Arabidopsis thaliana: one gene and its partners. The protein of the gene in region 2 interacts with the protein of the main gene of each other region in a pairwise test. Each region holds a gene or a part of one and is shown on either strand. Other genes may lie near its edges.

The links. Proteins that work in one complex are often made in the same cells at the same time.
Region 1: the proteins of PTF1 (region 2) and NF-YA4 interact in binary tests that used the Arabidopsis thaliana proteins (3 or more experiments, as listed by UniProt).
Region 3: the proteins of PTF1 (region 2) and IAA34 interact in binary tests that used the Arabidopsis thaliana proteins (3 or more experiments, as listed by UniProt).

The regions. Positions count from the first base shown.
Region 1 is NC_003071.7:14,649,154-14,653,244, reverse strand, and holds NF-YA4 (nuclear factor Y, subunit A4), read left to right. Parts: upstream 1-1,535; 5' UTR 1,536-1,681; intron 1,682-1,943; 5' UTR 1,944-1,989; coding exon 1,990-2,017; intron 2,018-2,109; coding exon 2,110-2,225; exon of another isoform or gene 2,226-2,571; coding exon of another isoform or gene 2,572-2,610; coding exon 2,611-2,694; intron 2,695-2,782; coding exon 2,783-2,947; intron 2,948-3,023; coding exon 3,024-3,227; 3' UTR 3,228-3,539; downstream 3,540-4,091. UniProt on the Arabidopsis thaliana protein: Stimulates the transcription of various genes by recognizing and binding to a CCAAT motif in promoters.
Region 2 is NC_003074.8:389,057-393,320, forward strand, and holds PTF1 (plastid transcription factor 1), read left to right. Parts: upstream 1-1,663; 5' UTR 1,664-2,187; intron 2,188-2,440; 5' UTR 2,441-2,465; coding exon 2,466-3,533; 3' UTR 3,534-3,711; downstream 3,712-4,264. UniProt on the Arabidopsis thaliana protein: Plays a pivotal role in the control of morphogenesis of shoot organs by negatively regulating the expression of boundary-specific genes such as CUC genes, probably through the induction of miRNA (e.g. miR164).
Region 3 is NC_003070.9:5,181,439-5,185,025, forward strand, and holds IAA34 (indole-3-acetic acid inducible 34), read right to left. Parts: upstream 1,976-3,587; 5' UTR 1,806-1,975; coding exon 1,719-1,805; intron 1,592-1,718; exon of another isoform or gene 1,570-1,591; coding exon 1,416-1,569; intron 1,308-1,415; coding exon 1,167-1,307; intron 1,067-1,166; coding exon 958-1,066; intron 885-957; coding exon 818-884; 3' UTR 553-817; downstream 1-552. Other genes in the region: AT1G15060 (alpha/beta hydrolase family protein), read right to left, coding at 2,615-2,674, 2,791-2,891, 3,153-3,323, 3,525-3,587. UniProt on the Arabidopsis thaliana protein: Aux/IAA proteins are short-lived transcriptional factors that function as repressors of early auxin response genes at low auxin concentrations.

The DNA.
Region 1 (4,091 bases), on a different chromosome or scaffold from region 2:
TTGCTTTTACTTTGTGTAAGTGGTATTTTTTTTTTTTTTTTGTATCATGGATTAAACTAGATTATGACGGTTTGATCTTGATGGTTGGGGTTTAAGTCTTATTAACTAAAATCGTTCTTTTGAGGCGATCTTTGTAGGAAAAACCAAACTAGGATAGATTTGTGCTCAAATGAACTAACATAGAAATCTAAAACTGAAAATAAGAGACCTCATTAAGCTTATTGCACAAAACAAAAGTATGAGGGGAAAAGATTTAGATTGTCCCCAAGAATAGAATGACTTTAGTTTTGATTTCAAAGAAGGGGATAGACTATGGAGTTAAGTGACAACTCTCTACGTTAGTCTCACTGTTCTCACTACATGATTATATATAAGAGACTACTTGCTCATCTACTTAACCTAATTACATGAACTTGTGTTGGGTTTTTCCAATATCATGAACTTATAATCTTTGGTTTTGTTAGGAATGCTCTTTTAATCTCAGTGCTAAATTATGCTTGATATTTATAACTTTTTTTTTTTTTTTTTATATTTATAACTTTATACGTGCTGACATGCACTTGAGGACTTTGAGGTGTCGAATCAAGAATCATGATGATAAGGAGTTTAGGGATGAAAGCAGACTATATAATCGTATAGGTGATTAAGTAAGCATGGTTATTTAATGACTGCTCAGTCACTTCATTTACTTGTGTATTAATCATGTTTACTAGTTAGTTTTCGTCCATTTCCAAACGCTAATTTGTTGTTCAATGACTGCTCACTCACTTCATTTACGTTAAACGTTTCTTACTTGTCGAATGCATACTTACTTGATTTTGACCTATAGTTACTTGTCGAATACTGTGACCTCGTATAAGTGATCAAAGGCGTTACAACTTTTGGTGGTCTTTTACACATAAGTGATAGTTTTCAATTATTTTTCGAGTCAAAGCAATTAGCAAATACTTTTTTAGGAAAGTTTTTTTTTTCTTTTTTTTTTTTTGGGCAAAATTTTTAGGAAACTTATAAATAATAAGTTACTTATTATGGAATCATGTACTGTTTTTTTCTGAAGTCACTCATCACTCGTTCGTTTAAGTAGGTTTTGTTTTGTCACTGAACCGAAGTCAAACCAATCTAAATACCAAAGCTGGTTTAATGTCTCTGAAATTCGAACAAAACCAAAAGCGAACGGAATCTTCGGTTTCGATACCGACGCTTCTTTGATGACTCACAACGAAAGATATATTTGAGGGCAACGGGCACAAGTAGGGTCAGGCAAAACTAGTGGAGTTGAACAATCGATAACATATTCGGGCAGCTTTTCAGATCTGCCCGTCTTTTCCTACAATCTCGATCGTTGTTTCGACACTTGTCCTCATTGTATTAGCCTCCTTTTCACTGTTGCACATCGTGTCGTTTACCACTCCTACACATTTTCGTGGTTCTGAGTTGACCTATCACTACAGTGTGAGTGGAAAACATGAAAACGGCACGATGTTAATGAATATTAGAGAAGGACGGAGGCTATGAACTGAAAAAACGACATGGTGTGTCCCTCTTGGGTCTAGCCGTTTAGGCCTCTGTTAGTCATTTCGTCTCTTCCTTAGTTAGAACAAAAAAGGAGAGACCTTTAACAATTTTCTGAGGGTAAGATCCAGAGATTGATTGAATCAGCTTACTATTTTATATAATTCAGGTAAATTCTTATGTTTCTTTCCCTCCAGATTTTGAAAGTTTCTAGCTTTTGTTGTTCTGTATCTACTCGTTTCCGGGAAAATGCTTTTGCTATGTATGTTGAGATGTGATAGTAGAGGTTAAGATTGGTTTTTCTCTGTTCTGGGTTTGCTTTAGATTCTAGGGTTGTGATTGAATTCTGATTTTGGGGTTTTGGTTTAGTGAATTCCGATTCTCAAACTCTTGGCTTTGGTACTGACTTTTGTGCTTTGTTGTTGTTTCAGTTTGTTGTTCCTCAGACTTGTAACTAGGACAGTCTTCTCATGAATCATGACTTCTTCAGTACATGAGCTCTCTGGTTTTGTCTCTCTTTCTGACCATTTTCATTATGCTCTCGTTTTATTGTTGTATCTTCCTAACTGATTCTTGGTGGTATGTTTTGCTGGTCAGATAACAATGAAAGTCATGCGAAGAAAGAACGTCCAGATTCCCAAACCCGACCACAGGTTCCTTCAGGACGAAGTTCGGAATCTATTGATACAAACTCTGTCTACTCAGAGCCCATGGTAATTTCTCTCAGCCAAAATCTCAACTATTTGTGCAGGCTACATTCAATGAGTGATCTTTATTTCGATTATATGATATTTGGTTTAGTTTCTGTGTGATCTTGCTCTCGGTTATAATATGTTTGCTTGTGATTCTCTTTTTCAATGCTAAAAGTTTTGTTTTGATGCTTACAATGCCAAAACTTGGTTGTTTGAGATAATTCAAGCAAGAAAGTCCCGGGATCATCGCCTTTCTGCAGTTTTAGACTTCGTACGAATGTAAACTTTGATTGCTTTGAAAATCAGTCTTGAGATGCAGTGTAATGATAATGTTGATTCCAAGTAATGCTAAACTTTTTAACCTGAGATGATACGGTTTTTGTTTTTGTGTGTGTTGGTATTGAAGGCACATGGATTATACCCGTATCCAGATCCTTACTACAGAAGCGTCTTTGCACAGCAAGCGTATCTTCCACATCCCTATCCTGGGGTATGTATTATTTATTACTCAGCCCCAACGTCTCCGGTTTGGAATATTTAGAAAAGCTTTTGTTTTATTTTTAAAGTTTTTTTTTCAGGTCCAATTGCAGTTAATGGGAATGCAGCAGCCAGGAGTTCCATTGCAATGTGATGCAGTCGAGGAACCTGTTTTTGTTAACGCAAAGCAATACCATGGTATACTCAGGCGCAGGCAATCCCGGGCAAAACTTGAGGCACGAAATAGAGCCATCAAAGCAAAAAAGGTAAAATCCTGGCGGGCAAGTGCTGTAATTTGTTTGGTAGAATCCTTCCCAATAAGTTGTAATTTCTTGTTTTCAGCCATACATGCATGAATCTCGGCATTTACATGCGATAAGACGGCCAAGAGGATGTGGTGGCCGGTTTCTCAATGCCAAGAAGGAAAATGGAGACCACAAGGAGGAGGAGGAGGCAACCTCTGATGAGAACACTTCAGAAGCAAGTTCCAGCCTCAGGTCCGAGAAATTAGCTATGGCTACTTCTGGTCCTAATGGTAGATCTTGAGGAAGGTTTCTGCACAACCACAAGTTTAGTTTCTATTTTGGGTGGATGTTCTCAGGGCATCATCGTCTTTAGTGTTTTTGGATACGCTGTGTACAGGTTATTTGCTAGGGTAAACTTTGTTTTAGCGATTAGAAATAAAACTAAGCAAAGAAATGAAAAGTGTGATTGGAAGTATTGTTGTACCAAATTGATATTCTTTGCCAATGAACTCATGTTTTGGAAAGTAAATTAATGTTCTTAGCTTTGTTTGCTATGATTTTGAGGATAACTAACACTGATGATAACTACCACTGTGGATTAGTCCATTGTTAGACTAGACTGTTTATTGGTATTCTTCTATATATATGAAATGCATTCTACAGGATCGGATTTGACGTTGTAATTTAGGAGACAAGTAAAACAAGAATTCTTCCGATCTCATAATGTGGTCAATCACTAGGCTCGTTTTCATTTTTAATGAACACATTGCATGCATATCCGACCATATGCTCTTCCGATGATACATTTTGAATGACACGACATACATTATTTTACAATCACAATTCTCTTTTTATACGAGGTATTGTTTCTTTTCTCGACTTGTAGCTCTGTTTTAGTTTTGTCAAGTCTTTAGACCTGTTTACACCATTTTATTATTATCTTCTTTACCACATATAAACTTAGCCTTTTTCTTATATTCACAAAGAGACCATATTTCACCATTCCATTGATGATATATTGGTTAGATGTGTTGGGATAGAATTTGAAACATTGATTTCTGCGACCAAATGGATTCGTTTTGGGAAGAAGGTAGAATAATCTTAGTTTACCACTTTTTTTTATCCACTAAGCATAATCATTTCACTCCCAGACAGTTTATATTTC
Region 2 (4,264 bases):
ATTTATCAAATATGGAGAAATGTGTTTAACTTTTAACATGATTTTTAGGATATTATTGTCGTTGATATATATATCCTTCACATCATTAATTATTATTATGGATGTGAAAATACTATAGAAAAGCTATTAAAACCCCAATCTTTGTTCATGAGACAACAAAATTCTGGAGTCGGTGAAGTAGACATGACTTAATGGATTCTAAGTTTGTCCGATTTCTCCTTTGTTCCCATGTGATGTCTTAAGATAAAATGATCATCATCACACTTTCTTTTTCTCTTACTCCTTTGTTTCGATTCATAAGGATATATTGCTTTCGTCCACTTCTAATATTCTTATATCACTTTATTTAAAAGACAATGTACAATTTAATAAAATTAATAATTTGATGAATGTTATTGATTCATATAGATATTTAAAATGTATTTGAAAAAGGGGTACAAATCTTATTGTGAATGGATAATTAATTAAGTTGCATACTTCAAAAGACAATCATGTGGATACTTTTTTATTATTAGTTTTATGGATTTGAAATTCTGAAAAATACTCGTCTCAATTATTCTTAGAACATTAAGTTTGACCTAAAAGAATGGTTTGACTAGTAATATGGGAATTATATAGGTGCCCCTTTTCACAGATGATGCATCCGAATAACAAAATCATATTACTTCTTATATCCTACCGTCCATATTAATTATATTAGATTACACATTTAAATATAATATATACATCATTAGATCTAATATAGAAAATCTTATTAAAAAAAAATCCTTATATAAAGAAAAATCACAAGGTTAACACAACCTTATCGATAAATAAAGATGTTAAAACTGATTTTTATATATGAAGCAAAAGTAAATTAGGGCTTAGTGATGTCTAGTTAAAGTACTTGTGTTTTGAAAAGGTAATGAGTCATGACTCAACAAGGTACACAAGGCGTGCATCGGGTAAACCACAACCTTTTGTAATTGTCGATATAACAGCATGCCAATATTCACATGGACCATATACTGTGTGTATATTATATATTACCATATATGTGAGTTACATTTCATATTGTAGAACCAAGGACTAAATTTAAACATAATGTACCATATTCTTTTAATTAGATTATTCATAAGATATCCAATTTAAAAGATGAGTTAAAATGATCAAGAAAACGCTACGCTGAACTCTAAAGTCTAATCTTTATCATTTATAGAAGTGTTATGAAACAAATCAATACCTGGTTAATAATTGATGTAGTTTCATTTTTTTTTTTAAGAAAAGAAAGTGATGAAGTGTTTAACTAGTCATAATATTATAGATCCAACTTCATTTCAATATATCACGAGTGCATTGGCGGCTGCAAAACATATTTTTGAAAAGAGCAAAAAAAAAAATCAAGGATCATAAATAATATAGGTCTTGGCTTTTTAATTCTACCAATAGATTTACAGTGGACAATTAAAGAAAAAAAATCACGAAATTATCATGGTTTGGCTAATTGAGATAAAATTCATACGTTTTCCATCAATAATCGTACATCATCCATTTCACAACAATAATTATTCCTAAAATGTCGTTATTTTCATAACATTGGTTAGATGTTCTAATAAGCTACTATTATATATAACTTCACGTCAATGTATGTTTGATTTTGGCATCTAAAATTTCTGTAAAATTTAGATATTCGCGTATACTTTTTTTGGGATTTTCTTCTTAGCCGTATTATAACTGCAACTCATATCACATACGTGGATGATAAAATATTCGAGTTTAATATCTCCTCCGTATGTAGATTTGATATGATCCATAATATTAAAGATGAAAATGAACTTGACTGATTATTCAGCGCATTCATTTTATTTTCCCTTCGAGGATAGCGAAATCCGCCACGTGGCATTACTACATCCATTGCTTTTTTTAACATAAATACTTAAGTCGCAATTCTTCTAAATTTTGGAGGCTTATGATATTGGTAGGGTTCTCATATTCACTTCCAAAAGCATCTTCTTCTTTCTAATTTTCTTTTTCTTTTTATCTTATTTTCATTTTATTCATATACTTTTTGAAAAGAAAAGTCGAATCACATACTTTCTTCTCTCTATTTCTCATTCTCTCTTCTTCATCATATTACTCATTTTATAGAACAGCAAAACCCTAGATTTCCTGTTCAAGCTCAAGACCGTACAAAACTTTGGAACTCATGTAAGAAACAGTACACGTTTTTTTTTTTGTTTCTTCTTCAGTCCGGATTATAAGAATTTTGTCGATTGAAGAAAACAGGCTAAATTAAACCCTAATTTTCTCTCTTAGACAATTCCTACTTTCTCTCCATTTTTCTGGATTCGCTCTCGTTTTAAAAGGATTCAGAAATTAACTATATTATTTGAATTCTTTTGCCATAATTCCCTTATGTTTTCTGCTAATGGATATACATTTGGTCTTCTTTCTGTATTAGATATAAAGATCTCGAGAATAGCATTATGAATATCGTCTCTTGGAAAGATGCAAACGACGAAGTTGCAGGCGGCGCTACGACAAGACGTGAAAGAGAAGTAAAAGAGGATCAAGAAGAAACCGAAGTCAGAGCCACCAGTGGCAAAACCGTAATTAAAAAGCAGCCTACATCGATCTCTTCTTCTTCTTCTTCGTGGATGAAATCCAAGGATCCGAGGATTGTTAGGGTTTCACGCGCCTTTGGAGGCAAAGACCGTCACAGCAAAGTGTGTACGTTACGTGGACTACGTGACAGACGCGTGAGATTATCAGTCCCAACGGCTATTCAGCTCTACGATCTTCAAGAACGGCTCGGTGTTGACCAGCCTAGCAAAGCCGTTGACTGGTTGCTTGATGCAGCTAAAGAGGAGATCGACGAGCTACCTCCGTTACCTATCTCGCCGGAAAATTTCAGCATCTTCAACCATCATCAGTCCTTCTTGAATCTTGGTCAACGGCCCGGTCAAGATCCGACCCAACTCGGGTTTAAAATCAATGGATGTGTACAAAAGTCTACTACTACTAGCCGCGAAGAAAACGATAGAGAGAAAGGAGAAAACGATGTCGTTTACACAAACAATCATCATGTTGGGTCTTATGGAACTTATCACAACCTGGAACATCATCATCATCATCACCAACATTTGAGTTTACAGGCAGATTATCATAGTCATCAACTACATAGTCTTGTCCCATTTCCATCACAAATTTTGGTATGTCCAATGACGACATCACCAACAACTACAACTATACAATCTTTGTTTCCATCATCATCGTCAGCTGGTTCAGGGACTATGGAGACATTAGATCCGAGGCAAATGGTAAGCCATTTTCAAATGCCATTAATGGGTAATTCTTCATCTTCGTCTTCCCAAAACATTTCGACATTATATTCGTTGTTACATGGTAGTAGTAGCAACAATGGTGGTAGAGACATTGATAATCGGATGTCGTCGGTCCAATTCAACCGAACTAATAGCACTACAACGGCTAACATGTCGAGGCATCTAGGCTCGGAGCGTTGTACAAGTAGAGGAAGTGATCACCATATGTGAAGTTAGATTATTGAAACGATATAATTGTTGTTTGATGTGTTCAGAAATAAGGGGACACAAAACAAAATATAAGGTAATTACTATTGTACTATGTTTTGCTGATATATTTTTTAATAGACAAATTAATGTTATAAATTGATTTATTAATTTACTATTAGCATGTGTTTTGAAACTTTCTCATGTATATATATATATATAGCTTCCTCATAGGATCTGAATACACACAAACATACATGAAATGTATTATAAGTATCTGATAGTAATGTATGCACTTTGAGATGAGAAGCTAAATTACATTCAGATTCATCAAATATTTAGCAAAAAAAAAAATCAGATTCATCAATAGGTAACGTAATAATATGAAATTGAATCTAATAATTTATACTGATCTGTTATCGAGGTATTATGTTTCTATTGGATGCACGGTACAATGCAACTATAGAACTCAATGTGACCGTAGCTAGATAGATTATTAGATGATGATATAAGTGGAGATTCCACAAAACCCAAACAAACCTAACATTACTATGTCATGTGAAGCAGATATATATTGAACCCATTATCAAATAGAAATTCATCATGAATGGTTATTATACATACAAGTGCCCATTTTAAAATCTTATTAGCATAGTAAGTAAACTATCAAGATGCAAAGAAGCCATTCCCATATAAAAATTAAGATGTGTAGCTAGGCTAAATGGTCTCGATAATAATGTGTAGTAGTGAATAGT
Region 3 (3,587 bases), on a different chromosome or scaffold from region 2:
CGAGGCGCAGCGTCCACTCAAAGCTGACGCACACTTTTTATTATCTGTATACGTTTTTGGTCAAACCTTTCCTATTGCCTATTGGATGCTGAGATGGACTTCTCTGGATATTCCAAATTATTCCTTCTTTTGATTTGGTTATGTTAAACAAAAAAACGTTTTCTTAGTAATAAATGGATATGGATCAGATTAGGTTCTTAGGAGGATTAGATATGAATGGATGACTCATTGACTTGTAACAATATTAAGCATGCAGAGCATATACTGTATATGTCTTTATTTTATACTATATAAATGCATGTCTTTCTGTATTTGGAGGGTGTTGAATTAATTATGGAAATCACGTCATCCTAATCAGCCACCGGTTCAGTCACTCTTACGTGTAAAAGATAACGTCGTAGACTTTCAACAACTCCGTATGAATGAAAATGTAAGAAAAAAGATCGAGGTTGTCGCCGGAGTTGAGCTCTCTTGTCTTCACAAGGCCTTCGATATCCTACTCATTTTTCGTTTATGCGGATTATGAATTGAAAAGTATGAAAGATAAAATGGCAAATTCACCATCGTAATTACACCACTATATCTTAAAACTGGATGGTTCACAATATCTTCGTATCATGGTAAGACGAGAATCCAGACGTAACATATCGGAGCTCTAGTGATCAGGATTTCACCGAAAAAAGTAGTTCGTGGTTCTTTCTTTATTTCGAATATAATCGTATTCAAAGTTACATTTACCTTTTCTCTTTTGTTTCATTTCCGATTCAAGGCTGACTTGGAAATTATAACAAAGAGTGAAGAAAGAGAGAAGCTAATATTAAAAGGGAAGTACAGCATCGTTTCTTCTTGTGATTCTCAGCCGCTCCACGCTTTCTATGAACTCACTGTCATTTACAAATCACAACACATGTAAACGCTTTATTTCAGTAATCTACAAAGAAAGTATCAAGAGCTTACTTCCATGGAACATCCCCAGCATTTCTCCACAGACCTTCTTCGTCTCTGTAGACCAAACAGAACTCAGACTCCATCTGGAACAACCTCAATCCCGACACACTCTGCATCCCTACAGATTGTAATGAACATCCGGTATAAGCCTACTAGGAACATTACTACTTATAGTACTTACTCATCTTTGAATCCCAAGCTTCCCATGAAAAACTTACCAAACATGTCCTCGAGTTGATGAGCAAGAGTTGAATAGCTTCCATGATCAAGAACACAGACCTTGCGACCTACCACCAAACCATCCATGGTGACCTTTACATAACCCCACTTCCGTCTGTATCCTTCATTACTACAATATCCTTTGCCACATGTCATAACTCATAAGTAAACACCGTCTCAGAGTTGAAAAAATTTACCAAGAAATTAAAGGTAATGGAAATACTAATGGAAACGGCAAAGAAACTCACTTTGGCCAGATGAGTGGTAAATCTCATGTTGTATGGTTCTCAGGCTGAGACCTAAATCGATTACGCCACCAAACTCCGTGGTCTGCGAGTAATATGGATGATACTTGGGAGAATTTGGGAAAACACCGAGTGGGTCTGAGTCCATTGTTGGTTTCTATAACAAATACATATTCAGCACATAACAGATACATAGAAAGGTGAGAATGATGTTGATTTATATCAAGCAGCTAAGGCTAAGAGTGTCAGGAGAGTTAAGAGACATCATTGCAGACAGGGAACAAACAAAAGACAAGAACACATTACCTTCCAGGAAAGGATCAGTTTGTGGTCTTTTTGTTGTTTGTCTGATGCCACTAAGTGCAAGGGATGGGGAGGATCGCTGCAATACATCTGGTCAGCCAACACAAAAACCTGAAATTATCGTGAAGTCAGAATTGTACTATACTAATCACAGCAAGCACATCTCTATCTAGTGAAGTGTCTCAATGTTATCAGAGAGTGTTGACAACTCATTGTCTCAAGTCAAAACCTGTAATCACTCAACATCAAACACGTTACAAAAGAAATAGGTAAGTCGTGCTAGAGAATTCTGTACCATAGAGAATCCAACGAATTAATTTATGGACAAAGAAAGAGAAGAACTAGGTATGGTCTTACATGATGGTGGAGAGACAATATCTTTCATGAAAGAGAGCTCTGTTGTTTAATACTAGACAATTCAGATCTATCATTACATCATGTATCCCACACATTATCTGAGAAGTAGGGCTGTGTCATTAATGGATCTAAGACAGAAAATGTACACATAAATCCATGTCTATACAATTGCTCTCATGGATAACTCAAGTCCTCCAAAAGAAGCAAAGCAGTACAAGAGAACACACCAGTTCTTCTAAAGATAAATGTTCAAATAAAAAGCTCGTTGCCATAACAAAACAAGGGAAATCATCACAGTAGACAAGAGCTTCCAGCATCTCATTCGATGCTTTTCCTAATTTACAGGTGTATGACTTGAAAAAACTGCATCCTAAGCTCATGTACAGTTTGCCCAGATACTAAATGTACGTGTCTTAAACGGAAATGGCATCCTTTTTAACAGGCGCTTCTGAAACACACTTCTTCGACACCACCTTAGTGCGACGTCTACAATCTACATGTGCTATAGCATGCAAGGAACAGAAACTCCCGAAATGTTTCACTTATGCGGAATCATGGTGGCTAAGAAATTCAGTTATGCAAGGATAGACTTGCTCCACTGCCTGCAGTAAGTTGTCAGAGAAACGATTAACAAACGAAACAAGCATGCACATGATACAGCATTGAACAAAGTTCCAACATAGGAGGAGACCTAGAAATGACTGGGGAACAAACATACCAGTCGTCCTCCAACCAAATCATAGTGTGCATAATGTGGTCCATCTGGTTCTCCAAGTAACTTATAAGTGACCAAGTTCTCCGGAAACAGCTTAACAGTGTCTGCCATATTCACAAGCATTTGTAATTAGTCATAATGGTGAAAATGCATGTGTGAGTAGCTTAAAAATTTATTTGGTGTGTGTGGAAAGTATCACAAAAGTTAATCCATCTACGCCTTATACAGCCTCTCATAACTCGAAAGAATTCAGTAACAGCAATGTAGAATTTAAAATGAAATGCATATCTGGGTAAATGAATGGTTTCATGTATATGCTAGAGTCATCTATGCAGAATTTCATAATAAACATTATGTTAGTATACCTTCCACAGCCGCAGGGGGGCAGATCAAGTCCCGATCACCTGCAAGAGCTAAGACAGGGACACTGGTTCTGGGAAGATGATCCTTATAGTAAAATTTACCACTACGATCACGTAAGCCTCCCTCTCGAAAGGCCGTTGTCAGCTGAATAAGTAGTTTTGCAGGTATGGTACCTAGATGTAAGAAAACAAAGAAACTCTTGAAAATCACCATAAAGGGAGCAATTACGGATTGCAAAAAAAGTCATGGTACATTCAAGCATCTAATAGTAACTGTTCCAGCATTTTCTTTTTCTTAATGAAGATACGTTTCTTTTCCACTTAAAATACATTAAGAACTCACATACTTAAATGGGATCAACTGTTTTTACTTACAGAAGTTATTCAAGACAAGCTTTTCTAACATTTCAGGGTGCATCATATCTGTTGATGATATCA